Oryctolagus cuniculus: one gene and its partners. The protein of the gene in region 1 purifies or fractionates together with the protein of each later gene. This does not show direct contact. Links are inferred from orthologs where the notes say so. Each region holds a gene or a part of one and is shown on either strand. Other genes may lie near its edges.

Evidence for each region.
Region 2: the proteins of COPS8 (region 1) and DCAF1 purify together in Homo sapiens (affinity purification with mass spectrometry; 4 studies listed by BioGRID and IntAct, counting the BioPlex papers as one, with this or other methods). This does not show direct contact. The link is inferred for Oryctolagus cuniculus from reciprocal best matches to the Homo sapiens genes COPS8 and DCAF1.
Region 3: the proteins of COPS8 (region 1) and DDB2 purify together in Homo sapiens (affinity purification with mass spectrometry; 6 studies listed by BioGRID and IntAct, counting the BioPlex papers as one, with this or other methods). This does not show direct contact. The link is inferred for Oryctolagus cuniculus from reciprocal best matches to the Homo sapiens genes COPS8 and DDB2.
Region 4: the proteins of COPS8 (region 1) and CUL2 purify together in Homo sapiens (affinity purification with mass spectrometry; 4 studies listed by BioGRID and IntAct, counting the BioPlex papers as one, with this or other methods). This does not show direct contact. The link is inferred for Oryctolagus cuniculus from reciprocal best matches to the Homo sapiens genes COPS8 and CUL2.

What each region holds. Positions count from the first base shown.
Region 1 is NC_091434.1:3,080,832-3,088,515, reverse strand, and holds the start of COPS8 (COP9 signalosome complex subunit 8), read left to right. Parts: upstream 1-2,949; 5' UTR 2,950-3,192; coding exon 3,193-3,270; intron 3,271-3,278; exon of another isoform or gene 3,279-3,529; intron 3,530-4,037; coding exon 4,038-4,108; intron 4,109-5,309; coding exon 5,310-5,358; intron 5,359-6,710; coding exon 6,711-6,843; intron 6,844-7,684. UniProt on the Homo sapiens protein: Component of the COP9 signalosome complex (CSN), a complex involved in various cellular and developmental processes.
Region 2 is NC_091441.1:98,127,369-98,134,603, forward strand, and holds part of DCAF1 (DDB1- and CUL4-associated factor 1), read left to right. Parts: intron 1-323; coding exon 324-1,587; intron 1,588-2,705; coding exon 2,706-2,904; intron 2,905-3,354; coding exon 3,355-3,437; intron 3,438-3,923; coding exon 3,924-4,008; intron 4,009-7,132; coding exon 7,133-7,235. UniProt on the Homo sapiens protein: Acts both as a substrate recognition component of E3 ubiquitin-protein ligase complexes and as an atypical serine/threonine-protein kinase, playing key roles in various processes such as cell cycle, telomerase regulation and histone modification.
Region 3 is NC_091432.1:18,714,189-18,721,423, reverse strand, and holds the end of DDB2 (DNA damage-binding protein 2), read left to right. Parts: intron 1-2,585; coding exon 2,586-2,731; intron 2,732-3,906; coding exon 3,907-4,006; intron 4,007-4,094; coding exon 4,095-4,272; intron 4,273-4,528; coding exon 4,529-4,671; intron 4,672-5,854; coding exon 5,855-6,019; intron 6,020-6,171; coding exon 6,172-6,217; intron 6,218-6,505; coding exon 6,506-6,555; 3' UTR 6,556-6,864; downstream 6,865-7,235.
Region 4 is NC_091444.1:107,426,120-107,433,817, forward strand, and holds the start of CUL2 (cullin-2), read left to right. Parts: upstream 1-2,697; 5' UTR 2,698-2,838; intron 2,839-2,893; exon of another isoform or gene 2,894-3,083; intron 3,084-7,487; exon of another isoform or gene 7,488-7,698.

The DNA of each region.
Region 1 (7,684 bases):
TCCTTTGAGGCCATTCTCCAGCCCTGGGTCCTGCAGCCTCCATCTGGAACTCTTTCTCACCAGCGTCTGAACTTGGCCTCTCGGCTGCAGGGCTGTGACCTTGACACAGGTCCTAAGGGCGTGCTGTGTGCTTTCTGCTTGCCCACGGAGCAAAGGCTGCACACACAGTTCTGCTGTAGACAACCTGCCCAGGCTAGCAGAAGGTGGGGCAACACGCCCCCCCCCCCCAGTGGGGCCCAGGCCATCCTGTCCCGGGTGTGAGGCGGGGCTGGGGCGGCCTCCACTGCCCCCACTCCCCACCCTCTCCCTCCCACACAGCCCCCGGAAGGCTCACCCGTGAGGGCTGCCCTGGGTTTCTGGCTCATCGGCCAGCAGGGGGGGGAGCCCCAGGTCAGAGCCTCCCTGGCCCGGCGGCCCCTCTGCAGGAGGTCAGAGTCCCAGCCGTGGACCCCTCTGGGCCAGGCACCTTTCCCCCCTCAGCCTTTGTAATCACTGTTGACAGACTGCAACTTAGCGGCTTCTCCTACAGGTGCAGGGCTGTAGACATCACTGCAAGGTGTCCAACCCGCTTGGTTGGGGCCGGGGAAGGCGTGTGTCACAGGTTGGGAGGGCTTCTTTTATAGAGTCAGGACATGGGGGTTAAAGGTCAAAGCAGGCCTGCTCCTCTCTGTTGACCTTTAGGCACCTGCGGGGACCTTGACAAGGACTCTCCTTCCCCGGAAGTGTGGGTAGGGCCTCTCCATTCCCTCCTTGTGCATCCCAAAGCTGCCATCCCGACCTTCTGATGACAGGAAAGGGGGCGACGATGAGTCTCTGGCTACTTCCTGCTGACTGGGGACGATGGGGCACTCTTGGCTGGCATGGGGCGCTGTCTCCTGGGTGGGGAGCTGAGTATATCCCCGTAGCAGCATTTGGTTGACCGCCTGGTTGCTGAAGGCCTTGGTTCGTTCCATTGTCACCTGCTGTAAACACTTACACAGACACTGGTCTGCAAGTCAGGGTGAGAACAGCAACCAATGATCCTAAGAGTGGCACTAACCAGGTAATGAAAGGATTTCACAGAGGAGAGGAATGGGAGGGGTCACTGGACCCTTGTGAGGACGGTTTGATGGACGTGGTTTAAATCTGATCCCAGCCGAGACCGGGAGAAAGGCCACTCAGCTTTTGCAGGTAGCGGGTTTGTCTGTAGGGAAATTCTGAATAATCATGCAGATTAGGTGGAGGAGAGGACCATCAGTGCACACAGGTCGGGAGCAGAGTAGAGGCTGTGATCACAAAGGAAGGAGACCCACGTGGGCAGACAGGGCCTGGTACAGAGGACAGTCACTGTCAGAGGAGCTGAGAGAGGTGCTGGCTCCGCCAAACAGAACCTGACAGAGGGGCCTGATAACACTCAGGTGGGCTTCAGGCCTTGTAAGTTAGGAGGCCAGACCGGTCTGTCTCTTCACAGGGTGCCTCCCAAGGGGGGTGTGCACCTCCCTGGGGAAGGCACCCTGTCGGCTTCCATTACCCAGCTGGCCTGGGAGGAAGCTGGCGTCTCCAACAGGAAGTTTAGTTCTCCCGCAGCGTTGCTGACCCAACCTCAGCAGCGGTGGTCACCCTGGAAGCTGGGCTGAGTGAGGGCCTTTCAGCTTGGAGCCAGCAAGGCTGCGGCTCTGACCTGGGCGTCCCGACTCCACTTCCAGCGACCCAGCTCCTGGCTGGCAGGGCTGGCGGGCTCTCCACAGGCTCACTCTGCTGAGGCCCGGCTCACCTCCCCGAAAGCCCCTGCAGTGGACTGGCCCGCTGGGTCTCCGAGGGCAGATCCCTGCACGGGGCTACATTTCACGGCCGGCCACCCAGCTTCACGTTTCTCACTTGTTGACAGACCAACCTAGAGGCTTCCGTGCAGGCGCAGGGCTGCACAGACACCACCAAGACGGAAGCTTGAAGCCTTATCATCACCCCAGACCCACTACCAGTCACCCCCGCCCCACCCGTCCCCGGCCCAGCCGGCTGCTTCCTCTCCAGGGACGCGCCCGCTGGGGCATCTCACCCCGCACACCAGGGGCGCGTTCCGAGGACAGAGGCGCCACCGGCCCACCGCCATCCCCTCCCCCGCCTCTCACCGCTCGCCGACCCCACCCGCCCTGAGCTCGCAGGGCCGGCGCGTGGGCGCCCCAAGTCCAGCGTCACCCACGCGGTGCCACCACGCCAACCCCTGCGCTCGGGTTTGGTCCGTGAGGAGCCGGGGAGGGGCGCGCAGACCGCGGCTACCGCCCTTCCAAGCGCACCGAGCCATGGGACTCGCCGGGCACCTGCGACCCCGAGGCTGGCGGGCGCGCGTCTCAGGGTCAGGCCCGGCCAGGTCGGGGTGGGTGGGGGTCTGCGCGGCGCCCCGCGGAGATCCCGCCTAGCAAACCTGAGCGGACACGCACAGCGTGAGGGCGGGTCGGGCTGCGGGGAGACGGCGACACCCATGACACGCCGACCCCTGCGGCCGCCTCTCCGGCTTCGGGACCTGCGACCCCCGCGGGTGCCTCCAGCCCCCGCACCCGTGTCCCCGCCGCAATCCGCCATCGCACCCCTCGCGGAGATGGCGCAGCTCGGGGAGCAACAGAGAGGGAAGCCCTCCATTTCCCTCCATCGCCTCGCCCTGCCTCAGACCAGCGGCCGGGCCTTTAAACGCGGCCCGGGCGCCCCCGGTCCTGCGCAAGGGCAAATCTGCACGTACAGGGCCTAAACTCCACGGCCGTCCCGCTCCCGGGCGGGACCCGGGGCCCGGCGGCGCCCGCCTCGAGCCTCGACCGGGGACGGCGCGGCCCCGTGACCCCCGCACACACGTGCCCGTGCTGTCCCAGCCACTTCCGCTATCGAACGTCCCTCACCTTCCTGTCCTGCGCACTGGGCGACCTCGGGCGGACACAAGCTCCGCCCTTTCCGCCGGCAGCCGCGCGCCCCGGAAGTGGTATCCCGCGACGGCTGGCTGGTCCTCCCAACCACCGAGAGGGCCGCCCAGAGCGCCGGCGCGCTCTCCCTCGCCGCCTCCTACCCCTGCGGCAGCGGCGCCCCGGGCCGTGCCGGGACCACTGTGCGCGTGCGCAGGAGTGCTGGGCCGCGGCGACGGCGTGGTGCGTCATCGGGGTGCGACGCCCGAGGGACTGTGCGGGGTTTGCCTGGCTGGAAGGTGCGGCGGCGAGACCGGGCGGGAAGATGCCAGTGGCGGTGATGGCAGAAAGCGCCTTCAGCTTCAAAAAGCTACTGGATCAGTGCGAGAACCAGGAGCTCGAGGTAGCCGCGTGCAGCGCGCTGGGAGGAGCTCCGGGGCCGCCCCGGCCTCCGGGCGGCGCCGGTTTCCAGGGTAACGGGGCCGGGGCGCGCGGAGAGCGGGCGCGGGACGCGGGCCCGGGCGCCCCGCACTGCTCGGGCCGGGCGGTTGCTCGGCCGCTGCCTGGACGCGTGGGGCAGCCTCTCCTGCCGGCCTCGGGGCCCGGGCCGCGGGCCGTGGGGGCCGCCCCGGGCGCTCGGTGTCTGGGGAAGCCAGCGCGGGGTGCGTGACCCGCGGACACGCACACGCGTGGAGGGAGCGGTGCCCGGCGGGCCGTGCTCCGTGCGGGCCTGGGGAAGGCGCCCCGCAGCATGCCCCGGAGCGGCAGAGCCGGGCGGGGCTCGGGAGTAGGCCGAGCTGTGTCTGCAGCCGCCGGCGACTGACGTTTCAGCTTTTTGTTGTTATTTTTAAATGTACCCGGAAGGCACCGTTAGAGGTCTTCCGTCCCCGGCTTCACTGCCCAAGTGGCCGCCAGGGCCCGGGCTGGGCCAGGCTGGAGCCGGGGGTCTCCTCCGCGTCTCCCACGCGGGTGCAGGGGCCCCGGGACTCGGGCCATCTCCCAGGCCACAGCAGGGCGCAGCATCGGAGCTGGAGCGGCCGGGTCTCGAACCTGCGCCCATCGGGCCGCCCGTTTGATCCGCTGAGCTGCAGCCCCACCCCGGAAGGTTTCGGGTTTTTTTCTGGCGTGGGTAAGAAAGGAGGCTGTGCTCTTGCGTTTCTGGCGTTCTAGGCTCCTGGAGGAATCGCGACGCCCCCGGTGTACGGCCAGCTGCTGGCTTTGTATCTGCTGCATAACGACATGTGAGTACCTTTAGCGACCCGCGGCGGCCGCCCCGGTTCCCGGGAGCCCCGAGCGCTCTGCTGCGGCCTCGCTGCGGCCGTTCCTGTGGCGTCCAGCGGGTGGTGGCCGGCGGCCTGTAGCTCCTCCTAAGGAGGACAGCGGGTTCCTAGGGAGACGCAGACGGGCGGGCGGCTGCTTCCCTCCCGGGTGCCCCGGGGCCGGGCTGGTCCAGACCACAGCTGGGAGCCCACTCCCACGAGCCGGCCGCCGTGTGCGCTGGCAGGAAGCAGAGGCCGGAGCCGCAGTCGCGGTGAGGCCGGCGGTCTGGGGCCCTGGGGCAGGCGCTGACCCCGCCCGCGGGCTGCCGCCGTCCATTTCCCGCGGAGCCTTCGGAGAACCCTCAGGTCCGAAAAGCAGCGCGGAGCCTGGGAAAGTGCGGGCGCGTGACCTTTTTAAAGGATTGTGCTCTGACCTGGGCTCAGCCGAGGGCCCCTGTTGTCGGCAGGCCCAGAGAAGCTGCCCGGAGGCCGAGGGCCAGCAGGGGTTTGCTGCCCACAGCCGAGAGCTCCTGGGAGCCGTCTCGTAGGGGGGACCCGTGTCTGCTCGCTGGAGGGCAGAACGCCCCCGGGTGGCTGTCGTTCTGTGACCCCAGGGGCGCCTGACGGTTTTCCTCTAAACTTCTCCGAGCCCTTTCTGTCCTGTCGTCCTAGAAGCTGAGCTGGGCTCCCCGCGTCCGGCGTGTGAGTGGCCCGCTTCGCTTCCTGTGGTCCCATCGTAGGGGTGTCCTGGTCCGGGTTTCTCCCCGGATCCCCCTGCTGTGGAGGTTCTGGGGGCAGGGCCCTGTGTGGGGCTGTGAGGAGGACCAAGCCCGGGAGCCCGGGCGTCTTCCCTCCGGGGAGGCAGGACCTGGGAAGCGCGTTCTTATCTGGGTGAATTATTTGGGGAGTTCTGTGTAAATCTTTGTATTTTTGGTGTTGGCTTAATTTAGCATCTGAATCATTCCTTCAGAAATTCACTAAAAATGGCAGAATGTGACGTTGATGAACTATTTCCTGTCTCTTCGTCTGGAGAACTACTCGTAATTCCCCAGAACAAGTTCACATAAAATATGTTTGCTCTGTACTGTGCATAGAGTATTTTGATTAACTCCTGTCTGTTCTCATTAGGACCTAGTAATTTCCAACATTTTTACTGACCGCTCTTTGCGCTGGTTTGCATTAGGAATAACGCGAGATACCTCTGGAAGAGAATACCGCCTGCCATAAAGTCCGTAAGTGTCCTTGCCCTGCGCTGTGTTGCTTCCACGTGGTGATAACGTTCTCTGACCGGGGAATCCCGTAAAGCGCTGTTCCCGTCCCGTGTCACTGGGGTTAGAGGAGAGAACCGACCTCCGGCGCTGCAGTCAGAAACCAGAACTTCCCCGGGATGGCGGAGGGGTCGGCTCGGCTCCCGGTCATTCCAGCCACGCCGCTGAGCCGGGCCACGCGAAGGGCTGGGCGGTGGCTGCAGGGGGGCGGGGGGTTCAACGGAGCTGTGCAGGTTCCTGAAGCAGGAGTGGCGTGGAGACTGGTGGTACACTGCTGTTCTGAAATGGTCATTCGCAGCGCTGGGACTGTCTATCCAGTTAGGAGAGTGGGCTTCTCGTTTTGGGTGGAGAAGCAAGTGAAAGCTGCTTCCGAAGTGGGCCGCAGTGGTCCTTGGGTTTCGGGTGGGTCAGTGCCCGCGTGAGTGGTCTCCACGTGGGACCAAGAGTCCACCTCAGGTTGTGCTCAGCTCTCAGCCGGGCACCGGATTAGTGCTTTAACTCCCATCCTTTCCCATACCTGCTGTGAAGTGAGGTGAAAGAGGGTCCCCGTGGTGGAGGCGTGAGGGTGGTGGCCTCCTGTGGTGGCCTGTGCTGACCTTGGCTCTTGCTCGCGTCCCCAGGGCATCGTGTTATGTGTGTGGGGACTGCAAACAGGGCACCTTTCGAATCAGCTGCCCGAGATACTTAATCCCCAGGCTTAATCCCGAGCATGTTTGGATTACTTTCTCAGCCCTTAATCTGTTGTGGTAATAAACACTTACAGCGAATGAATAAAGAAATTTTGCGTTACTGCTCATGCTGCTTAAAAACCTGTTTGAATGTGGTTGGACTGAAAAAGTGATTGCATCTCTTAAAAGGAACGTGAGATTTTGTGTTGATGATGCAGCTAACACGTTGTACGTCTTTCTGACTTTCGCTTTAAGACACAGTTGTGGCCGGCGCCACGGCTCACTAGGCTAATCCTCCGCCTTGCGGCGCCGGCACACCGGGTTCTAGTCCCGGTCAGGGCGCCGGATTCTGCCCCGGTTGCCCCTCTTCCAGGCCAGCTCTCTGCTGTGGAGGATGGCCCAAGTGCTTGGGCCCTGCACCCCATGGGAGACCAGGAGAAGTACCTGGCTCCTGCCATCGGATCAGCACGGGGCACCTGCCACAGCACGTGGCCATGGCGGCCATTGGAGGGTGAACCAACGGCAAAGGAAGACCTTTCTCTCTGTCTCTCTCTCTCACTGTCCACTCTGCCTGTCAAGAAAAAAAAAAAAAAAAGACGCAGTTGTTTCCAGGATGAGCACTGTCAAAGGCTGTGACGTGTGTTCCAGGCGAACTCTGAGCTCGGGGGGATCTGGTCGGTGGGACAGAGGATCTGGCAGAGGGACTTCCCCGGGATCTACACGACCATCAGCGCTCACCAGTGGTCCGAGACGGTGCAGCCCATCATGGAGGCACTGAGAGGTGCGTTTCTTTGTGTTGGACGTTGCAGCAGGCCCTTCCTGAGGCTGCAGGGCGGGAGGCGGGTGGGGCGCTGGTGAGCGCAGGTGAGCGGCAGCTTTCCGAGCTCCCGTTTTTATTTTGTCCAGAAAGTGCCGCCAGCCTTCTCTTGCTGAGGCTGCATCAGCAGTTCAGGGCTTCGTGTCTCGGGCTGGTTCCAGGTTGAAATTGCTCCTGGCAGGGAAAGGGCTCTCCGCTGTTGCAGGAATCCCCGGAGTTCACGGCCTGAGGGGTGGAAGGTTAGAATCCCCGCCGGAGTGCAGACGGTCATTCGGCCTCGGCAGGCGTCTGGCCGGCGGCTTCCAGGCGAGCAGGCTCAGGGCGGCTCGGGCACGTGCAGGGGCTGACGCAGCGATGTGGCCGACAGCAGGAGGCGCTCCTTGACACTGGAGTGGGGAAAGCAGGGGTGCAGGGCAGGTGAGGGAGCGAAGGGAGGAGGGGTGCGGCCGGGCGGGTCCCGTAGGGGCAGTGTTGGAATCGGTGAACAGCCTTCACCCCTGCTGTAGGCCTGAGGAGGGATAGTGGATTTCATGGTGTGGGCTGAGCAGCCCTAATTGAAAATCTGAAGTGCCCCCAAATCTTAGAAGTGTGTGAGCACGGACAGGACCCCGCACGTGGAGAATTCCACTGCCGGCCTGTGCGCTGTGCCACAGCCAAATAGAGATGCACTGAGAGGGTCGTAAATCACAGTGTGAGGTGGAGGTGAAGCTTAGCGATTGTGTATGTGGGCTGACGTCGCATCCCCAGAGCACCTCACTAGGTGCAACTGTTCCAGGATCCACAAAGCCCCGCATCTGAAGCTCTC
Region 2 (7,235 bases), on another chromosome or scaffold:
CCCTGGCAGCCAAGCCGAGGGCTTTCTTCTTTCCTGCTGAAGATTTTAACTTACTTTGACTCCTCTTAATCTAGGAAAAATGAACCTTAATAATTTCTGTATAACTACTAGTAACTATATAGGAGATATTGTATCATAAAGCTACATACTTGAAGAACTAATTGTATTTTATGCAAACAGCTCCTTATACTTTTTAAAAGAAGTGAGGTGGTTTCTTCTTTAAAAGTAGAAGAGAATGATTAGAATGCCACATTTTGAGTCTGAAACCATTGAAATCAGTCATGAATTTTACAAGGATTGATGCGAGTTTTTCCTTCCATTAGGTATCAGCATTATTTTGGGAGTGGCTGAGGGTGAGTTCTTTATCCATGATGCTGAAATTCAGAAGTCAGCACTTCAAATTATCATCAATTGTGTGTGTGGCCCAGATAACCGAATATCCAGTATTGGCAAATTTATCTCTGGAACTCCTCGGAGAAAGCTGCCTCAGACCCCCAAAAGCAGCGAGCATACCCTGGCCAAGATGTGGAATGTGGTCCAGTCCAACAATGGCATCAAGGTTCTCTTGTCATTGCTGTCCATTAAGATGCCCATCACCGATGCAGACCAGATCCGTGCCCTGGCCTGCAAGGCCCTGGTGGGCCTGTCTCGCAGTAGCACTGTCCGGCAGATCATCAGCAAACTGCCCCTTTTCAGCAGCTGCCAGATCCAGCAGCTGATGAAGGAGCCCGTGCTACAGGACAAGCGCAGTGACCACGTCAAGTTCTGCAAATATGCAGCTGAGCTCATTGAACGGGTGTCAGGAAAGCCGCTCCTCATTGGCACTGATGTGTCCCTAGCACGACTGCAGAAGGCAGATGTTGTCGCCCAGTCAAGGATCTCCTTCCCTGAGAAAGAGCTACTTCTGTTGATACGAAACCATCTCATTTCTAAAGGGCTTGGAGAAACAGCGACGGTGCTGACGAAAGAGGCCGACCTGCCCATGACTGCTGCCTCCCATTCTTCTGCCTTCACCCCAGTAACTGCTGCTGCTTCACCTGTCTCTCTTCCCCGAACCCCTCGAATTGCCAATGGCATTGCAACTCGACTGGGCAGCCATGCTGCCGTGGGTGCCTCTGCCCCCTCTGCCCCCGCTGTTCATCCTCAGCCACGGCCCCCTCAGGGTTCACTAGCTTTGCCTGGCCCATCTTATGCAGGCAACTCCCCTTTGATTGGTAGGATCAGTTTTATCAGAGAGAGGCCATCACCTTGCAATGGCAGGAAAATCAGAGTGTTGCGGCAAAAGTCGGACCATGGCGCCTACAGCCAAAGCCCAGCCATAAAAAAGCAGCTGGACAGACATCTTCCTTCCCCGCCTACGCTGGACAGTATCATCACAGAGTTTCTTAGAGAGCAACATGCTCGATGCAAGAACCCAGTTGCTACTTGCCCACCTTTCTCTCTCTTTACTCCTCACCAGTGTCCTGAGCCAAAACAGAGGCGGCAAGCGCCAATAAACTTTACCTCACGGCTAAACCGCAGGGCATCATTTCCAAAGTATGGAGGGGTAGATGGTGGATGCTTTGATAGGCACCTTATCTTTAGCAGGTAAGAAGAGGCCCTCTCCCATCCTGGGAATTGGAATTATTTAAATTATTTAAATCAGAGTATTGGGGTGATGTCTGCATAGAGTGATTAGTCCAGTCAGCCATTTCCTGGTCTGAAATGCCATTCCTTGTCACATCAGTACATAAGCAGTGTGTGTCACCTTTTGTTTACCAGAGTCCTTATGTCATTAGTGGCAATACTTGAATAATGTGTTACCACTGGAGAGCCCATGCTCCCTAACCAGGATCTTAGCTCGTTTTGTGCTGGTCCAAAATGCCTTCTGATGTGAATTTTTTAAAATACTAATTTTCTTTTTATTTGAAAAGCAGACAGAAACAGATCCATCTATTGGTTTAGTCCTCAAATGCCTGCAACAGCGGGGGCTGGGCCAGACCGAAGTCAGGAGCCAGGAGCTCAATCTTGATCTCACTTGTTGGGGCAGCGATCTGTAGAAAGAAGTTGAATTGGAATCAAAGTCAGGACTTCAGCCAGGCATTCTGATACGGAATGTGAGCATCCTGAACAGCATGTTACCAGCTGCATCAGATGCCTCCTTGAACATTGTGATTCCTTAAAAGTCTCATGGAAAGGGATCACAGTTTTAAACGTGGGATTTTTTTTTTTTTTTAAGATTTATTTATTTATTTGAAAGAGTTACAGAGAGGCAGAGGTAGTGAGAGTTCTTCTATCCATTGGTTCACTTCTCAAATGGCCCCAGTTGGAGCTGGGCTGATCTAGAGCCAGGAGCTTCTTCCAGGTCTCTCATGCAGGTGCAGAGGCCCAAGGAGTTGGGCCATCTTCTGCTTTCCCAGGCCGCAGCAGAGAGCTGGATTGGCAATGGAGCAGCTGGGACTTGAACCAGCATCTATATGGGATGCTGGCACTGGAGGCGGTGACTTTATCCACTGTGCTGGCCCCTAAATGTGGGAATTTTTGTTATTTAAATTTGTAAGTGGAGGTCCTTTTCTCTCATTTAAAATTGAAAATGAACCAGTGAAGGTTAGTGTGATATTTTAAAGAACTTATTTCACACCTATTCAAACCTAAGTCCTTCTAGCAAGTTTTCTTTTTGAGTCCCTGCACATTCTATGTCTCTGATTCTCTTTTGTTTTGCTTAGATTCCGTCCTATTTCAGTGTTCCGGGAAGCCAATGAAGATGAGAGTGGCTTCACCTGCTGTGCGTTCTCAGCACGGGAGAGGTTCCTGATGCTTGGCACCTGCACAGGGCAGCTGAAGCTCTATAATGTGTTTAGTGGACAGGAGGAGGCCAGTTACAACTGTCACAACTCGGCTATCACACACCTTGAACCTTCTAGGGTGAGGGTCCCTTCCTCCTGGATGCTCTCGTTTCTAAGATGGGTTGGTGAACTCCTCTTTTATTGGAGTTTCTTGTGAGGAATCCTTACCTCTAAAGTCTAGGTGAAATCGACTGGACTCCAAGGGAAACTGAGGAGTGTGCCGTATCAAGAGAACCGGTTATCTTTGATGTCTTTCCAAGTTTTCTTCCTCTTTTCTTTGGAGCCATTATATTTTTGTTACGAGCTCAGAAGGATTTAATGTGCTGTTAAATTTATTTTCTAGTACACTGCAGGTACATGTATTTAAATCTTAGTGACTTCTGATTATTTCTTGGCTCCTGAAAGTTGTTCTTTTTCTCTTTAATCCAGTAATGCTTTTATGTAAATATTTTAAAAATACTAATGGTAGATAGCAACATCTACATGTATATAAACCCACGTTTACCCTCCTTGGGCCTCCTTCTTTCAGGACGGGTCCTTGCTGCTGACATCTGCTACTTGGAGCCAGCCTTTGTCTGCACTTTGGGGAATGAAATCAGTATTTGATATGAAGTATGTATCTGCTTTTGTAGTCTGGTGTTCCTGTGTTTTGTTTATATAATTTATACTCCATCTATTTGTTGGACTAGAGGCCTTTTGGGAAGTAGGATGCTGTAAGTTATTGTTAACTTCTTCATTTTAGGCTTATGTTTTAATAAAATTTTATCTTTTAATTTCTAGATGCTCCTGGAAAGTATATGCTTGCCCATTTGGGCAGCAGATCCTTCACTTAACTCCAAATGGCCATCTTTATACTTTGCCAAGTTCACATGGGCCATTTACATTCTAATCTTTCGTATTTCAAAGGCACATGTGCCCTATGGTCATTTTTCCAACCAAGGAATCCCTGTCAGGGTATGCTTAGACACACTGCTGGAGGGAATGTTTTTAATCTCACTGTACAGGCGTTTCCTCTGTGGGAGCCAAGGCATTAAGAGGCTGCAGTGTGTGCAGGAGTCTGTCTTGAACATCTTGACCTCTCAGTGCTTTTGTCCGTAGGCATTCCTTCACAGAAGACCACTATGTTGAGTTCAGTAAGCACTCTCAGGATCGAGTCATAGGCACGAAGGGAGACATTGCCCACGTAAGTGCTGGAGAAACCTCTGCTTTCACGCTCACTTTGCTCATTTGTTAATTCAGAAATATTCTGGACTGAATGTGAGGACTTAGTGGGTATCTAGAAATTATAGTGATAGTCCTTCCAGTTAAACTCTAGAAGTGTATTAAAGTAGTTTTAAGTTATATAGGAAAAATGAAATAATTGACTCTGAACTTAATCTTGCAGCTTGAGGAAGATGCTGTTAGCACAGCAGATATCTTTGAGTTCTTACCAAGTTTTAGGTGAGATAAAATCCCTGCATTTTTGGGCTCATGTTAGATGGTTGGTTGCTGCAGAGGAAAAGAAAGAAGCAGTGTAAGAGGGAAGAAATGCTTGATAGTGTGGTCAGGGACTGTTTTGTTAGCTTCACTGATTGGATACTGTTTAAGCAGAGCCCTTGAAGGACTTGTGACTGTCGTGCAGGTGTCATTCTAAGGCAGAGGGAGTAGCCAGGAAACAGCCTTGTTTGGGAGCTGTGAGGCAGAAGAGGGTAAGAGCTAAGGTCAGTGATGGGTACATATCCCGTAGCATCGTGGAGGAGGTAGTTGGGACCTTTAGCTTTTCTTCTGAGGAAGGTGAAGACAACTGGAGGGTGGCAGAAGATATATGACTGGATATGAAAACCTAAAGCATGATTTGTTTCTGTGAGAGAAGCAAAAGTAGACCTTCCAGGCAGGAGGATATTGTATCATGAATAATGGGGCATGATCCAGACAGACATGCAGAGGCCTTGAAAAATGATGGGCCGTAGTCCTGAGGTTTTGGATATGTGAAGTTTGAGATTCTATTAGACATTAACTGGGAATTGAATGTACAGATGGGGAGTTGAGAAGTCTGGGATGGGGGTTAAAATTAGGAGAGTAGTGCTTATATCAATATTTATAGCTGTGAACCTGGATGAGATTAAGGGGGCTAGAGGAGAGGTGTAGGGACAGCACTTGCATGTGCCAGTGTTTAGAAGTTGCCAAATAAGGAGGATCTTAGGGAGGAGACCAGAGAGAGTGACCAGAAAGTCAAAAGGAAACCCCAGGAAAAAGACCTAAAAGCCGAGGGAAGACTGCGTTTGGAGGAATGATTGATCAGTTGAGTCAGAAATTGCTGATGAGTTGAATATAAGAATGAGAACTGAGTGGGAGCGTTGAACAACATAGAGGTTATTATATAGTTACAACTATATTTAGTTATACATAATAGTTCTGGGGCCTGGGCTGTGGTACGGTGGGTTCGGCTGCTTCTTGGGAGGCCAGCATCCCATATCAGAGTAGCAGTTCAACTCCTAGCTGCTCTGCTTCCCATTTAGCTTCCTACTAATATGCCTGGGAAGGCAGCAGTGATGGCCCAAATATTGGGACCCCTGTCACTCATTAGACCAGGGTGGAGTTCTGGCTTCAGCTTGGCCCAGACCTGGCTGTTGTGGCCATTGGGGCAGTAAACCAACGGATAGAAGATCATTCTCTCCCCCTTTGTCTCTCTTGCTCTGCCTTTCAAATAAGTACATAAATCTTTAAAATATAGGCTGTACACTGATCAGACAAAATCTTGGTTAGAGTGGTTTCATAGGAGGAGTGAAATAGACACACTGAGTATAGTTAGTTCCTTTAAATTATTTTGTTGGGATACAAAGCAGAGAAGTAGAGTAATAAATAGCTTGAGGGGAGAATTTAGCATGGTAAAGGGAGGATTTCCCTCAACTTTTCATTTGAAAATGTTACAACATACTAAAATCATATGGAAAGAATGGTACATGTGTTCACTACCTAGATTCATCACTTTAATATTTTTCCATACTTTCTCTATGAATGTGTTTTTCTCAATTTGAAAGTGAGTTACAAGCATCATTACAGAACATGCATCATCTTTTTTTTTAATATTTTTATTTATTTGAAAGGCAGAGTTACAGAGAGGCAAAGACAGAGAGAGAAGCTTTCCATCTGCTGGTTCATTCCCCAAATGGCTGCAACAGCTGGAGCTGGACCGATCCAAAGCCAAGAGCTAGGAGCTTCTTCCAGGTCACCCATGCGTGTGCAGGGGCCCAAGCACTTGGGCTTTCTTCCACTGCTTTCCCAGGCCATATCAGAGACCTGGATCAGAAGTGGAGCAGCCGGGATTTGAACTGGTGCCCATATGGGTTGCCAGCACTGTAGGCGGCGGTCTTACCCGCTATGCCACAGCGCCGGTCCCTGAACATGTATCTTCTAACAATAAAACTATTTAATTACATAGTCACATATCCAAATTAAGAAAATTAGAGTAGTTCTCAAATATCATCTAATATCCAGTCCATGCCCAGTTTTTCCAGGTGTTCTTGATGTGTTTGATTTCATATATGTTTTTTTTTTTTTTCCTGAACTAGGATCCAGCCAAGATTCACATATTGCATTTGGTTATTATGTTTAATGTTTTAAAAGCCAAGAACCCTTTCTCCAGTTCTCATGGCACTGACTTTTGAAGAGACCAGGCTAGTTGTCTTGTCCCATGATCTGGATGTTTGTTTCCTTGTGGTGTTTCCTTATTTGTTTCCAAATCAAAAGAGTTTTTTTTTTTTTTTTTTTTTTTTTTTTTTTTTTAAAGAGATAGGAAATATTATAGCACACTTGTAAACTGATGGGAAAGATCTGGTCTCTGCATGAGTTGTGCATTGTAGCCTTTGGAAACTTAGTAGGTGGACTAAAATAGGTATATTGGGAGGTTTTAAGAAGAAAAGAGTATTTCTTAGATGTTTTTCTTTATAAAGTGACCCTTAGAGAGTATTCTGTGGGTAATCATTGATTGATCCATATGGAGAATTTCTCAGTTTTTATCTTAGAAACATTTTTCTGTTTCTTGAAAAGGGAAAAGGGAAGAAGAGTTTTCTTATCTTTAATGCAGTTTCACTTTTCATTTTCCTATCATAGGAAGGGGGTATTCAAGCCTTGAATGGGAACCAAAGTACTTGAACTTTGCTTGGATTGGATCTTCCACTTTCCAGTTACTTTACACTATTAGAGCTTTTGTAATTTCAGTGGGAAGGATTTAGAATACATGAGAGAGATATTTAACAGTTTCTCTTTAAATTTGTCAGTGGATGGTTTGGTCTGATTTTTCTCTTCCCACCCCTTCTTCTCTAAAGATTTATGATATTCAGATTGGCAACAAGCTGTTGACTCTGTTTAACCCAGATCTTGCTAACAACTACAAGAGGAACTGTGCCACCTTTAATCCTACAGATGATC
Region 3 (7,235 bases), on another chromosome or scaffold:
TTTTTTAAAAAAAAAAGTTATGATAGCAAACAATATAACATTTACCGTCTTATGTATCTTCCATCCACTGGTTACTATATTACCTATTTTTAAGTGCAGTTTGGTAATTACTTATTTTATTTGAAAAGTGGAGCTACAGAGAGAGAGAGGGAGAGAGAGACACACACACAGATCTTCCATCCACTGGTTTGCTTTCCAGACGTCGACATGAGCTGGGGCTTGAGCAGGCCAGGTTGGGAGCCAGGGACACAATCCAGGTCTCCCATGTGGTGGCAGGAGCCCAGTTATTTGAGCCATCACCACTGTCTCCCAGTGTCCATATTAGGAAGCCGGAATCAGGAGCTGGGAGCCTGGAATTAAAGCCAGGCACTGCAGAGTGGAAATGCAGGCATCTCGGCTGTCATGTTACCCTCTGGGCTGAGGATCATTTTATTTGTGAGCTTTAGGAGATCTTTTATATGTTCAGAATATTACCTCTGAATCAAATATACAATTCTCGAGCCTTTTTTAGTTTCCCCCCTTCCATTCTGGATCTTTTCCATTGATGCCTGATTGATTTTTCCTATTTAACCAAACCTGGCATTATTGGAATGAACCCACTTGGTCATAGTGTGTTTATCCTTTTTAAATGTCACTGGATTGAATTTGCTGATATTTTATATAGGACATCTGTATTCTCTTCATATGTAAGAGTGGCCAGTACTTTGATATGTCCTTGTCAGATCTGGGTAACAAGGTTATACTGACATCATACACTTGGGAATTATGCCCTGTTTTCTAGTCTGTGGAGAGTTTAAGAGTGGTATCTCGGGGCCAGCGATGTGGCACAGCGTGTTAAAGCCGCCGCCTGCAGTGCCGGCATCCCATATGGGTGCTGGTTCAAGTTCCAGCTGCTCCTCTTCCAATCCAGCTCTTTGCTATGGCCTGGGAATGCAGTACAAGATGGCCCAAGTCCTTGGGCCCCTGTACCCACGTGGGAGACCCAGAGAAGGCTCCTGGTTCCTGGCTTCGGATCAGCGCAGCTCCAGCTGTTGTGGCCATCTGGGGAGTGAACCAGCGGATGGAAGACCTCTCTCTCTGTCTCTACCTCTCTCTGTAACTCTTTCAAATAAATAAAATAAATCTTAAAAAAAAAAAAAAAACTCGTTAAAAAAAAAAAGAGTGGTATCTCTTCCTCTTTTTCATCTTCTTCCTCCTCCCTTTCCTTCCTGAACAGTCGAAACCAGAAGTCATTAAATGGTAGACTCAAGCAGGACCAGTATTTACATAGTGGGGAGGCCTCGGTGGTCTGGTGGCAGCCGAGACGGACATCAGTGCGGGTGGTGGCAGGTGGCAGCTCAGCAAAGATTCAGGGCTCCCAGACTGGGTGACAGGTAGAGGGAAGGTGGTGGTGGACCGGCATGGAGTAGTGGAGGCTGATCCAGCGGCGAGAACAGATTGTCTTACAAGCAGCAAGTCTTGGTAGGCTGTGAGCACTGATGCCGATGGTGTTAGAGGGATGGAACCTGTTGACGTGGTTGTTGGATAGGAGACCTTGCCCAGGTCTATGAGGCCAGGGTAGCATAAAGAGGAGTGAAGGAGCTCTGAGAGAGTGAAGTGTTTAACAAAACAGTGTGTGGGATATAATAAGTACTTACTGTGGCCCAGCCATTGGTAGTGTGGTTGTTTTCGTCTTCCTTGTCTGCAAAAGCAGGAAGGGGGACGGATCTGACTCTTGCCCTCCTTATCCTGCCGCCAGTGCGAGCTGAAGCTCTTCCAGAAAGAGCGCGTGGGAGCGGCACCCTGGCACAGCCGTGCCGCACTGCGCTGCCTCAGCAACCAGTGGCAGGGGCTCCGAGGCCGCACACTATGCACGCATTTCTTTCTTTCTTTCTTTCTTTTCTTCAGATTTTATTTTTTATTTATTTGAAAGGCAGAGTTACAGAGAGAGGGGAGACAGATCCTTCCATTTGCTGGCTCCCTCCCCAAATGGCCACGATGGCCAGGGCTGGGCCAGGTGGAAGCCAGGAGCCAGTAGCTTCTCCCAGGTGTCCACATGGGTGCAGGGGCCCAGGCACTTGGGCCATCCTCTGCCGCTTCCCTGGGCGCATTAGCAGGGAGCTGGATCAGAAATAGAGCAGCCGGGTCTCGAACCGGCGTCCAGATGGGATGCCAGTGTTGCAGGCGGAGGCTCACCGTGCTATGCCACAACACCGACCCTGGGACTTGTCTGTGATATTCTGTGCAGGCAGCTCTAGTGTTGGGGAACAGATCAGTGGGTGCCAGAGGTTTTGGGGTGAGGGGGAGAGTGTGACTACAGTGGGAAAGCAGAGCACTAGGGAGTTTTGGGGGTGATAGTGTGTTCTACATCCTGATTTTGGTGTTGGTTATTCAAATCTGTACATGGGTTAAAATTCATAGATCTGTATACCAAAAGTAGTATTTATTGTGTGTGAATTTTAAAAAGCACACTGTGGAGACAGCACCTTGGGGTCTGGGTGTCGGGACCGACTGGCGTTTGTGTCAAAGCACAGTCCACGTGCCCAGGCCTGGTTCCTCGCTTCCGGCCCCTCATCACTCACTGGCTTTTTCCTTCCTCGTGTTAGATTGGAGCTGGAGGGAGCATCACTGGGCTGAAGTTTAACCTTCTCAATACCAACCAGTTTTTCGCCTCCTCAATGGAGGGAACAACTAGGCTGCAAGACTTTACAGGCAACACCCTCCGAGTTTTTACCAGCTCAGACACCTGCAAGTGAGTAGCCGAACTAGCATGGCAAGGGCTTCCAGCTCCAGGTGTAGTCCTGGCGAGAGCATCCTGACCCCGCTTCTGTTACCTGCACCTGGCCAGGAGGAACGAGAAGGCGTTCGCCACTTTCCACCCTTCCCTCCCTTTTTCAAACTCTGGCTACTCTGACTGCCGTCCAGGTGGGCTCCTGCTTTGGGAAGGTGTTCTGGAGCCTCGGCTCTTCTCGGCTTTTCTCTAAGTCACACCTGTGTTAGGCTCGACCTTGGCTCTCACGAGACAAGTCAACGTGGTGGTGGCCCAGGGTGGAGCAGGCACTTAGGACTTCAGACGCAATTCCTTCTGTTCGTTGGCGGGTGAGGAACTCACCAGTTCCTTGGTGGAAGCTTCAGTGGATCCAGTAGTGTCCAAAAAGTGCTCCGGGCTCCCCAAGAGCAAGGGGCTGGAGGAATTAAAAATGCAGGTCCCTCCGCGTTCTAGCCAGAGACCCAAGTCTACCTGCTCCCTAAGGAGTTAGGTGAGGGGCGGGGTCTGACAGCTAGCACTGGGTTTCCTGGGCTGCCCCACAGGGACAGGTGACTGGCTAGACTCAGCTCCATGTTGGTCTTCCACAAGAAACCCTCTCGCTTAAAGATCCTGAAGGGGAACGACCAAAAGGCAGACTAGCGTGGCTCTGAGGGTTTAGGGGAACAGATGTGCATCTGGGCTGCAGGTCGTGTGTGCTTTACCCTAACTGCTCAGAAGGGGGCAGACATTTCTTTCCGGCCAGCTCTGAGTAGCACAGCGGGGCAGTTTCTGCTTGGCGTGTCTTCTCCTTTAGCCCCAAGGTGGAGAGGGAAGGCAGAGAAAGGAGACCGAGGTTCTAGCAGCTGTGGGGCCCAGCTAGCCAGGAGGCTTGCCTTAGGGCCCGAGGTCTCACTGCGTCTGGGACTCTCCCTGGCTCAGGACGCTAGGCCCGGCAGAGACTGGACACATTTTGGAGCCCCCCTCACCCTCATTCCCTCTGTTTGGCTGGTAGACAAGACTGAGTGTTCTTCCTGGGAATCCATGGTAAGACAGATACTTCATTCATTCAACAAATATTTATTGAGCGCCTGCCGCGGGTTAGGCCCAGGAGCTGCAGCAGTGAGTTAAAGGACCTGTCTCTGGCCCCAGGAATCTCACAGTACAGTCTCTCCTTCCAGCGTGTGGTTTTGCAGCCTGGACGTGTCTGCCAGAAGCCGAGTGGTGGTCACAGGAGACAACATGGGGCATGTGTTCCTGCTGAACATGGACGGTAAAGAGGTGCGTGCTCTGAGCCCTGGGCGCGCCTTCCCTCCCCTCCCCCCACCTCAGTTCTCTGTCCCCAGCTGAGCCGGGCTCTCCTCTGCAGCTCTGGAATCTCCGAATGCACAAAAAGAAAGTGACCCATGTGGCTCTGAACCCGAGCTGCGATTGGTTACTGGCCACAGCCTCCGTAGACCAAACAGTGAAAATCTGGGACCTGCGCCAGGTTAGAGGGAAAGCCAGCTTCCTCTGCTCGCTGCCACACAAGCATCCTGTCAACTCAGGTGTGAACCCCACCTGTCTCAACACTCCGGGGCCTCCTGGGAAGTTTGGAAGCTGCTAGGCCGACCCTTTCTCCCCAGTGTCTCAGATCTCCTGTGGGCTACTGAGTTTCTAGAATTCTTCTGCTCACAGCCCTGGTTCACCTCTGCCCTTTCCCCCCATCTCAGAGGTGTCAGAGGGAGGGCGCCCCCGCGAGAAGCGGCCCGACGGGGGCGGGGCTTCCGGTTTCTGCAGCTTAGGTGCTTGTCACTTCCCCAGCCTGCTTCAGTCCTGACGGAGCCCGGCTCCTGACCACGGATCAGAAGAATGAGCTCCGGATTTACTCTGCCTCCCAGTGGGACTGCCCCGTGGGCCTCATCCTGCATCCTCACCGGCACTTCCAGCACCTCACTCCCATCAAGGTGAGTGACAGAGTGACGAGAACGCGCAGAGGGAGTGGAGAGCGTGGGGACGGACCAGGTCTGCCCAAGGTGGGGAGGGGGCAGGCGTGTGAGCCTGCAGCTCCAGACCTCTTCTTGCCCCAGCAGACAGTCTCTCAGCCTTTCGGCGCTCTCTGTTCCTTTTATGCCACGTTTGCAAGTCCAGTTGGTGGGGCCGTCTTTGTCTCTCTGAGAAGCTGTCTCCCTCAGGAGTTTCAGCCCAGCCCTGACCTGTGAGCATGTGCAGAATGCTGAGCTTCTGCCCTGCCCTCTCGGTTTCAGTTACCCGTGTGTGTGGGTCCACAAACTAACCTTCACCTTCTTAGTTTGTCTTGCAGGTTTAGGTGGCTTCTAATAATAGAAATAAGTCCCTTCCTTTCCCATTTTGGATCTCCGTTTCCTCATCTGTAAAAAGGGAATAATAGTATCTAACTGATAGGGTTGTTGTGAGGATGAATCAGTGTACTTAAAGCACTTGGCACCATGCCTAGCACCGGGTGAGTACTCAGAAAATGATGACCGCTTAGTACCGCACGTACCTCAAATCATATCCAAGCACCTACTAAGGAATCCCAAGAATCCTTCCTCAGCTGGTGTTCTTGTTAATCCATCTGTCCTGATCTGCCGCCTCGTATCCAGCCAGGCCAACCCGCCGTCTGTGATTAGTGGTACCATTTCTTCCTTCCTGCTAACCACATCTTTGCTCCTTCAAAACTTCCTTGAGAAATTGTATCAGGAAAATCCCATCCAATTTGTGATTTCTGGATGAGTGGGGTAGGCTGGGCTACTGGAGTTCCTTTCCTTTTTCAGTCTTGAGTGATTTTACACACAGCTCCTGATTATCCACGCTGACGGAGGGGTGGCAGTGGGGTTACTTCAGATTTCTGTCCTAAGTAGTTCTGATTACCACAGGCCGTTCACTTTGTTGTAGGCCTACCTGTTAACGCCTAGGCCAGGTTGATGTTGAAAGCGGCAGGAAGTGCAGGAGAGAAGGCCTCAAGGTGTCCAGGGGCCAGGGAGGCCAGCGGGGGATTAGAAGTCTGCAGTTGCACGTGGGTCGCAGCGCCTCTGTTGCGGTGTTGGCTTGTTAGCAGCAAAGAATGGTTTTGATGTCCCTCGAGGGCGTTCTGTGTTTATTCCCCTGACTAGCCTCTCCGTCTTACAGGCAAGCTGGCACCCTCGGTACAACCTCATTGTCGTGGGTCGGTACCCAGATCCTAATTTCAAAAGTTGCGCTCCCTACGAACTAAGGACGATTGACATGTTTGACGGAGGCTCAGGGAAGATGATGTGTCAGCTCTATGACCCAGAATCTTCTGGGATCGTTTCGGTGAGACTCGGGCCCTCCAATACTGATGGGAGGAAGCAAGCATTCGATCTACCTCATTACTGACCCCAGTGACCCGGAGTTAGTCCTCTGTGCCCCGCCCTGTGCCTCCTGATTCCTTCACCCTGCTCATGCTGATACTCTTGTCTTTGCAGCTTAACGAGTTCAATCCCATGGGGGACACACTGGCCTCCACAATGGGTAAGTAGAAGCAGGACAGACCAGCCACGCCCGACCCTCCCTGCTATGCCAGGTTCGGTGCAGAATAACCAGCTGGGCCCTGTCCATTTACCCCAGCGCTGCAGCCAGCACAGACCATTGGGAGACAGTCTCTTTGGCCTAGGCCTCCCTCCCTCTTGTTTTGTCTTGGTCATGGTAGTGCCTGGATGCTGTCCTGTCCCCTAGTATTTACTCACTGGACCCTAGGTTCTCAGGGCCAGCCCCAAGCCCTCAGAGATGGATAACGGAAGGCGTTCTCACTTCTCTTAGGTTATCACATTCTCGTTTGGAGCCAGGAAGAAGCTGGGGCACGGAAATGAGTGACGTTAAAGGTGTGGGGCAAGCATCCGCTTGGAGCCTACAAACGGGGACAAGCCTGGCGGGAAGAGGCGGCACTTTGTCAAAGGGCCAAAAGGATCCGAATCTGCGGGTTGGGGCAGGGGCACTGTGGGACTGGCACACAGGCGTGTTACTGTACTTGGAGAGCTGGTGACCCAGCCCTCCGAGGGGCTCTGTCTGGCCGGAGCCCAGCGACCTTTCTCCTCTCTGGTGTGTGGCGGGTGAGTGATCAGGGAGTGCTGTTTGATTTGTGCTCACCGTTGGCGGCCAATAAAACCATTCCCACCTGAGCTGTCGAGAAAATCTTCCAGCACTGACCTGGTCAGAGGGCTCCTGGGGTCCAGGAATGAAGAAAAGGCACAGAACCAGCGCTCAAAGTCCACAGCTTTCATTCTCCGGGAGCTGCCTCCGCGGGTCCAGCTCGCAGCCTGCACTCACCTCAGGCCCCTGGAGACCCCAGCCCAGCTGAGGGAGAACACTTCTTGATTCTGACGGTCCACTGCCCACCCACCGCCCGCACCCTCCCAAGTACAGTCCCAGCACCCTTTGATCTGCTTGCGCCCAAGGGTACCAGGAACACTGTCTGACTAATGGTGGCTTCAACCCGACAAAGGGAAACCTGTTTAGGTCAGCTGCTTCCTTGGTAGCTGATGAGTGTACC
Region 4 (7,698 bases), on another chromosome or scaffold:
CCTGCACCCCATGGGAGACCAGGAGAAGCACCTGGCTCCTGCCATCGGATCAGCGCGGTGTGCCGACCGTGGTGGCCATTGGAGGGTGAACCAATGGAAAAGGAAGACCTTTCTCTCTGTCTCTCTCTCTCACTGTCCACTCTGCCTGTCACAAAAACAAAAACAAAATTGCATGCTCTTACAAAAATTTACATGTTGCAAATTATATGTATGTATATATATATGTATATATATATGTGTGTGTGTGTATATATATATATACTTGCAAAGCCGAGAGAGGCAGAAAGGGACAGACATCTTCCAGTTATGGTTCGTTCTCTAAATGCCTGCAGCACCTGGGGCTGGGCCAGGCTGAATCTAGGAGCCCGGAAATCAATCCTGGTCTCCGACATGAGTGGCAGGGACGCAGTCACTCAGGCCATCACTAGCTTTTTCACTACACAGCAGCAGGAAGTGGGACTCAGAGTGGAGCTGAGACTTGAACCCGGCACCGGGATGCAGGATGCAGGTGTCTCAAGTGGTGGCCAACGGCTGCCCAATTAAAACAACTCAGTGAGAAGAATGGCCCTGGGCTCACATTTTTGCCAGTCAGTATCAGTAAATATTTGGCTTAACAGAAAGTAACTGGATTTTCCATGACTGAAGCATACGAAGAAACCCAGGACTTAGAGGGAGAATTTGTTTTTGAATAACTATGGGCATTCTTTTTTGATGGTAGTTTCTATGTTAGTTGCAGTAATGAATATGAAGCCCTATTAGTGAACTCTGTTATTTTATATTATTTTATATTTGTTATTTGTATTAATTTATGTGTGCCTATAAATGCACATATACAAGGAGTCATCAAAAAGTTCATGGCAGGGACCAGTGCTTGGTGTTCTGAGTAAAGCCGCTCCCTGCGGCTCCAGCACCCATATGGGTGCTGGTTCGAGTCCCAGCTGCTCTACTTCCAATCCAGCTCTCTGCAATGCCTCGGAAAGCAGTGGAAGATGGGCCAACTGCTTGGGCCCCTGCGCCCATGTGGGAGTCCTGGGAGAAGCTCCTGGCTCCTGGCTCCAGACTGGCAGAGTTTAGGCTGTTGCAACAGTGAACCAGTGGATGGAAGATTCCCCCCCTGTCCCATAACTCTGCCTTTCACACAAATAAATAAATCTTTTTAAAAATAGTTTATGGAAAATACATACATACAGATCTCAAAAAATTTTGCACCAAAAGAAAATTATTTTTTCCACAAATTTTCTGAAGTACCCTTGCATATCCATTCATTGGTCTCTCTCTCTCCTTTATTTATTTATTTATTTTTTGAGATCTATTTCTTTACTTGAAAAGCAGGGTTGCAAAGAGAAGGAGAGACAGAGGGAGAAAAATCTTTCCACCCACTGGTTCACTCCCCAAATGGCCACAATGGCTGGGCCTGGGAGCCTGGAGCTCCATCCAGGTCTCCCACGCGGGCGCAGGGGCCCAAGCACTTGGGCCGTCGTCCACTGCTTTCCCAGGTGCATTAGCAGGGAGCCGGATACAGGATGCTGGTGCTGCTGGCAGCAGCTCACCCATGACGCTGGCCCGGTGGTCCATCTGGTATCCAGCGACGTTTGATTTGGTCACCTCCTGCCTGGCTGTTTGGAAAACACCGGTGCACCAAGTCCTGCAGACCTTCCACGGGGCTCGTATTCCATCACACAACATGCAAAAGTCGGCACGTGTGTTTCTAGCACGACAGACTCATCAGGGAAGCTGTCAAACCCAACATGGCGAGTTCACAGGAGAGCTGGACTTTGTCCCTGGCGAGGAACCCCGAGGGCAGACGCGCCCACCGCCTTGGTCCTCGACACAGCTCCAGGAAGGGGCGCACGCGAGGGTCCACGCTGCTTTTTAAAACATGAATTATTTATCTGAAAGAGTTAACAGGGAGAGAGAGGAAGACACAGGAAGGAGGAGAAAGGGAGACATGGGGGGGAGACAGAGAGAGAGAGAGAGAGAGAGACAGACAGACAGACAGACAGACGGGTCTTCCACCTGCTGGTCCACTCCCCGACGGCTAGGGTGAGCCAGGAGCAGCCGACAAGGACCTGCACCTGCGTGGGAGACCCGGAAGGAGCTCCTGGCTTCAGCCTGGTCCAGCTCTGGCCGTTGGGGCCATCTGGGGAGTGAACCAGCAGATGGGAGACCTCTCTCTGTCACTGTGCTTCCCAAATAAATCATATTTTTTATAAAAAAAAAAAAAAGAGGGAGGCAGAGTGAGCGCGACAAGCGCCGGCGTCCCGCCCACCACGGCTCTCGGGGCGTCCAGGGCAGGGGCGGGAGCGCTGGGCGCAGGTGCCGGGCGCAGGTCCGTCCCGCGCGTGGGGGCCGCCGGCGACTTTTGTCCCCGCGCGGCTGTGCGTGGAGGAGTCGCGGATGGAGGCGCCCGCGCTTTCGGGGTTCCGCGACCGGGCCCGACGGGGCTGGGGCCGGTGACCGCGGGCAGGGGCGGGGTGGAGGCCGCGTGCGAGGAAAACGCGCTGACAGCCCACCCACACGCGCGGGTCCGTCACGCGCGGCTCTCGCAGCACTCACGCCGCAGCTCGGGCTCCGCGGCCTTCGCGCCCGCGCCAGGCTGGCCCCCCGCGCTTGCCGTACCGCGGGCCGTACCATCGCTCCCGCGAGGGGGGTTCGGGAGCAGCGGAAGAAGGCGGCCGCAGGGCGTGTGTGAGTGTAGGGGGCGAAGCCGGGCGCCCCGGAGGACGCGCGTTCCGCCGATCCCGCCGCCGGCCCGGCCTTCTCCCCACCGCCCCCGGCCCGCCCGGCAGCGGCGGCGGCGGCGGCCTCGGGCTTCGCTGCGTTTCCCGGCCGCGGCAGGTGAGCGGCGGCGCGCGGGCTCCCGGGCTCGGCTCCCCACCCCCGCCCTCGGGCGCCGGTGGCGGCGGCCGGCCGGGGAGGCGGCCTGGGCGCCCAGTAATGGCAGCGCGGTGAGCGGGGGGCGCGAGCTGACAGCCGCCGCCGCCGCCCGCGTCCTCGCCGGGGCTCCGTCCCGCCGGCGGCCCCGGCGCCGCGCCCTGCGTGTGCAGACGGGAGCTGCCGGCGCCGGGACGCCTCCCCTGCCGGTAACCGGGCGGCGGCGGGGAGTTGGGGGCCGGGTGGGGCTCGCGCGGGGAGGGGGCGGCCTGGCCGGGACCGCGGCGCCCGGGCGCGCTGGCCGTGGCGGGGCCTCGGCGGCGGGCCTCGGCCCCCGGAGCGGCGGCCCGGTGCTCCCCGGGAGCGGGAGGCCGGCGTGCGCGCGGCCCGCGCGGCTCCCGGGGGGCGCCTCAGCCGGGGCCTGCTGCCGGGGTCTGGGGGAGAAGCCCCGCGGGTCCGGCCCGCCGCACCTGCTGCTCGCCCCGCGCGGGGACGCGTGCGAGGGGCACGGGCTCGCGTCCGCGGGCTGTGGGGGCTCTTCCCGCGGGCCCGCCCGGCGCAGCGCCCCGACCCCCGACTGCGCAGCGGGCGCGGGGGAGCAGCCTGGAGTCCGTGGAGTGTTTCTGAGGGCACGGACACGAGTGGCTCCGCCTGGCCTCCCCTGCCCCCTCCAGGGCTCCGCAGCCCTCCCGGAGGGGTGCACGGTGACTGCACCCGGGTTCTGAGGTACCCCCACTTTTCCCTTTTCTTTTCAGGTGCTGTTTCTTGGTAGCAACACGTCTGTACCGTGCCTGCACATAATGTGTGAAAAATACCCTTTCTGGTCCTGTTTGAGTATTTAGGGGTTCCCATGCACCCGGAACACCACTCTGCAGGCTCTGGTCACTTTTCATTGCTTTATTAGTGGGAGTAGACTGAATCTCGCTCGCTCGCTCTCTCTCTCTCTATCTCTATATATATATACATTTTTTTTTCTTACCCTTGCCAGTGGGTCGCTAATCAGACATCCTGGACCTAATTTGAAGTGAATTTTGCCTTCAGTACAGGTAACGAAGGTAACACCGGGTTAGTGCTGCTGGGCGATGGGCTCGTTGGGGGTCGTGCGGCAGGCTGGAGGCCGGAGGTGTGCGGCCTCCCGGCTGGGCAGAGTCGGCCTAAGACAGGGTAAGGGCAGCCCCAGGAGTGGAGGAGGAGTGGCCGCAGCCGCTGGGCAGCGGAGGCCTCGCTAAGGGGACGTCTGACCGGGGCCTGAGAAGGACCCTCTGTGCTCCGGGGAGGAGTGGCCCTGGAAACCGCTCCAGGCCGCCGGCCCCCGTGGGAGCCTCAGCAGCATCGGACGGGGACACCCATTTGGGTGCCGGCTGCTCCACTTGTGATCCAGCTCCCTGCTGGTGGCGCCTGGCTGGGCAGCGGTGGATGGCCCAAGTGCTTAGGCCCCGGCACCCACATGGGAGGCCGGAATGGGGTTCCTGACTCCTGGCTTTGGCCTGGCCCAGCCCTGCCTGTTGTGGCCATTGGGGAGTGAACCAACCAGCGCTGGGAGATTCTCTCTCCCCCTCCCTCCCCCTCCCTCCCCCTCCCCCCCTCTCCCTCCCTCTCCCTCCCTCTCTGTCTCTCACTCTGCATTTGGAACAAATGAATAAAAATGTTTAGGTTATAGCCAGAGGGCAGGTCATGTGAGTCCTTATCTCACTGTCAAGGAGTTTGGCTTTTATTGTTAAAGCACACCAAAGACCTGTTGAAACTTTTTATTTTTACTTTTAAGATTTACTGATTTGGGGCTGGCAAAGCTGCCGCCCGCAGTGCTGGTATCTCTCACGGGTGCTGGTTCAAGTCCCGGCTTCTCCACTTGTGACCCAGCTCTCTGCTGTGGCCTGGGAAAGCAGTAGAAGATGGCCCAAGCCCTTGGGCCCCTGCACCCACGTGGGAGACCTGGAAGAAGCTCCTGGCTCCTGGCTTCAGATCAGCACAGCTCCGGTGTTGTGGCCAATTGGAGAGTGAACCAGCAGATGGAAGATCTCTCTCTCTCTCTCTGTAACTCTTTCAAATAAATAAATAAATCTTAAAAAGTTTTACTGATTTATTTGAAAGCAAGAGTTACTGAGAGAGATCTTCCCTCTGCTGATTCACTCCTCAAATGGCCGCACAAGCCAGGGCTGGGCCAGGCCAAAGCTGGGAGCACAGAACCCCTCCAGGGCTCCCACGTGGGTGGCAGGGGCCCAAGCCCTTGGACCATCATCCACTGCCTCCCAGGACACGAACCGGCAGCGCCCATATGGGATGCCGGCCTTGCAAGGGGCTGTTTAACCCGCTGAGCCACAGCGCTGGCCCCAGAGCTTTTTAAAAAGCTAGGCTGACGGGAGATTGGAGAAGGGCAGAGAAGCAGTGGGAAGGGCGTGGCCGGAGAGTGTTGAGAGATTGGCCGCGAAGACGCACTGGACTTGCGGTTTGCAGGAGGGTGCGGTGCGGTGGGGACAGAGGTGGTTTCCGGGTCTTTGGCTTCAGCGGAAGGATGGGGATGCGGGGATGGGGAAGAGCCGAGGGAAGCCGCTTGGTAGGTGGGGTGGAGTTGGAGCGCCTGTGCCGGCCTGGGCCTAGCTGGGCAGGTGGAGGTGAGACGCGGGCAGCTGGAGTCTACTTCGTCCCGCAGAAGTTCTGCAGGCACCAGCTGCAGAGCAGGCGGCGTGCACCCAGTAGTGAGAGACAGACCTGGAGCTCCTGGAGCTGAGTTCTGATGCAGAGAGCGGGGTGGGGCAGGGCCATCAGCATGTGCCTGTGGGAGTGCTTCTGTTTTGAATAAAAGCTGTGTTCTTGTGGCTGAAAGTGTAAACTGTGCACAAGCGTGTGGAGTTCAACTCTGCCTCCACTTGTCCCCGTCAGTCAGTTTTCCTTGGAGCTGGTCAGTGTTGGCTGTTTCTTGGATATTCTTCCAAAGATATATTTTGTGCACCTGTAAGCAAGTAGTGCGTGTATTACTGGCCCCTGTGTCACGTGCTTTGACACCCGGTGGCCTTGTGGAGTCCTAAATAGTATTTAAAACTCATGAGATGGGGTGAGCACAGCCGAAGGGCTGAGGAAAGGAAAGAACCGAGGGACACTGGCGAGGACACCTTCTGGGAGCTTGTGAGTGCAGATGGCGGTTGTCTGCAGAGCTGGTTCCTTTCGGGAGACTTTTAGGGAAGTTTGCACTGCTTCTGCCGTGTCCCCCTTACCTGCCGAGGCCCCGTGCGTCCTGCAATGTGGTGATGAAGAGCAGTGTTTCTGGGTCTGGACTGTTCAGTTCAGTTTCTGTAAATTGATGACAGGGTCATCCCTTAAATCCTAACCTCATGAGTGTGCAAGACGGGCTAGTGTTACCTGCTGGAAAAAGCAGAAATTGGACTGTCACCCTGGGTCGGACAGCACGTCCCTGAGACTTATGTGTGACTGAAGGCTGCTGTCAGCAGGGTGGCCCTAGAGGATGGCTGCGGCGTGTCTGCTGGGCTGGGGCCTGAACAGCCATGTGTCTGTTCCACTGCAGATGGGAGTCGTTTGTGTGGCCGAGGCCGGCGGTGGACTCGCCCCGGACACTGCTTTGTGTGCGGCTTGCCCTGGGGAAGCCTTGCTGGCACTGTTAGCCGTGTGGTTCCTCTGGTCCTCCGGAGTTCTGAGACAGCGAGTGGTGTCTCCAGGTTATGTCAGCTCTGCAAGGACTTTGGCCTGTGATGGAACCCTGTCTTTTTTTGGAGTCTGTTTTCTCTAAGTTGCTTTAATATTGAAGAAGTAAAAACACTGATGTTGTGTTTCCTGCTGAGTTTATAATCCTTCTGTATTGGTTGACATTTTAACTTTGAGTTAGCTATCTTTAGCCAGGTGCTTCTTTTTATATACATATATATAATATAAGTTTTATTTTTGTCTGTTTATTTGGAAGGGAGAGTTAGAGAGGGAGAGACAGAGCGAACTTCCATCTGCTGATTCAACTCCCCAAATGGCCTCAAAGGCTGGGGCTGGACCTGGCGGAAGCCAGGAGCCTGGAGCTCCATGTGGGTCTCCCACTGGGGCCGTCTTCTGCTGCTCTCCCAGGTGCATTCGCAGGGAGCTGGATCAGAAGTGCAGCAGCCAGGACTCGAACCAGCGCTCACATGGGATGCTGACGCTGCACGTGGTGGCTCAACCTGCTGTGCCACGGCACTAGTCCTGGTCAGGTACTTAGTGTGTAAATTGATCCAGCTGTTTTTTGAGATTGTTCCCGATTCAAGAAATGCTTTGTTCAGTGTGATTTTGTTACTTTTAGCGTTACCTTTCTTTTGTTCTGAGAGTAGAGCAAGCAGCTGGTTTCTGAGTCGGAGAAGTAGTCGGTTAGAAAATGCCTGATGGTACTTCCTGCAGCAGTAGACACAGTTACCCCACACTCACGCAGACTACCATGGAAACTGTGTAGTGTCAAGCTCCGTAGCCTGTTCGTGCACTGCTGTATCAGAGGAGTTTCTCTTACATACTCGTAGCGTTGTATGGTGTTACGGGGTCACTGCTGTTACTCAGTCATTGCATGTGGCCTAATTACGTGTGCCAGGATTTTCACTGCTCAGGCTGACCGTGATTTTTCTTTGTCTTATCAGCAGTAAGCTTCTTTTTTTTTTTTTTTTTTTTTTGACAGGCAGAGTGGACAGTGAGAGAGAGAGACAGAGAGAGAAAGGTCTTCCTTTTGCCGCTGGTTCACCCTCCAATGGCCGCCGCTGCAGCCGGCGCACCGCGCTGATCCTGGCAGGAGCCAGGAGCCAGGTGCTTTTCCTGGTCTCCCATGGGGTGCAGGGCCCAAGCACCTGGGCCATCCTCCACTGC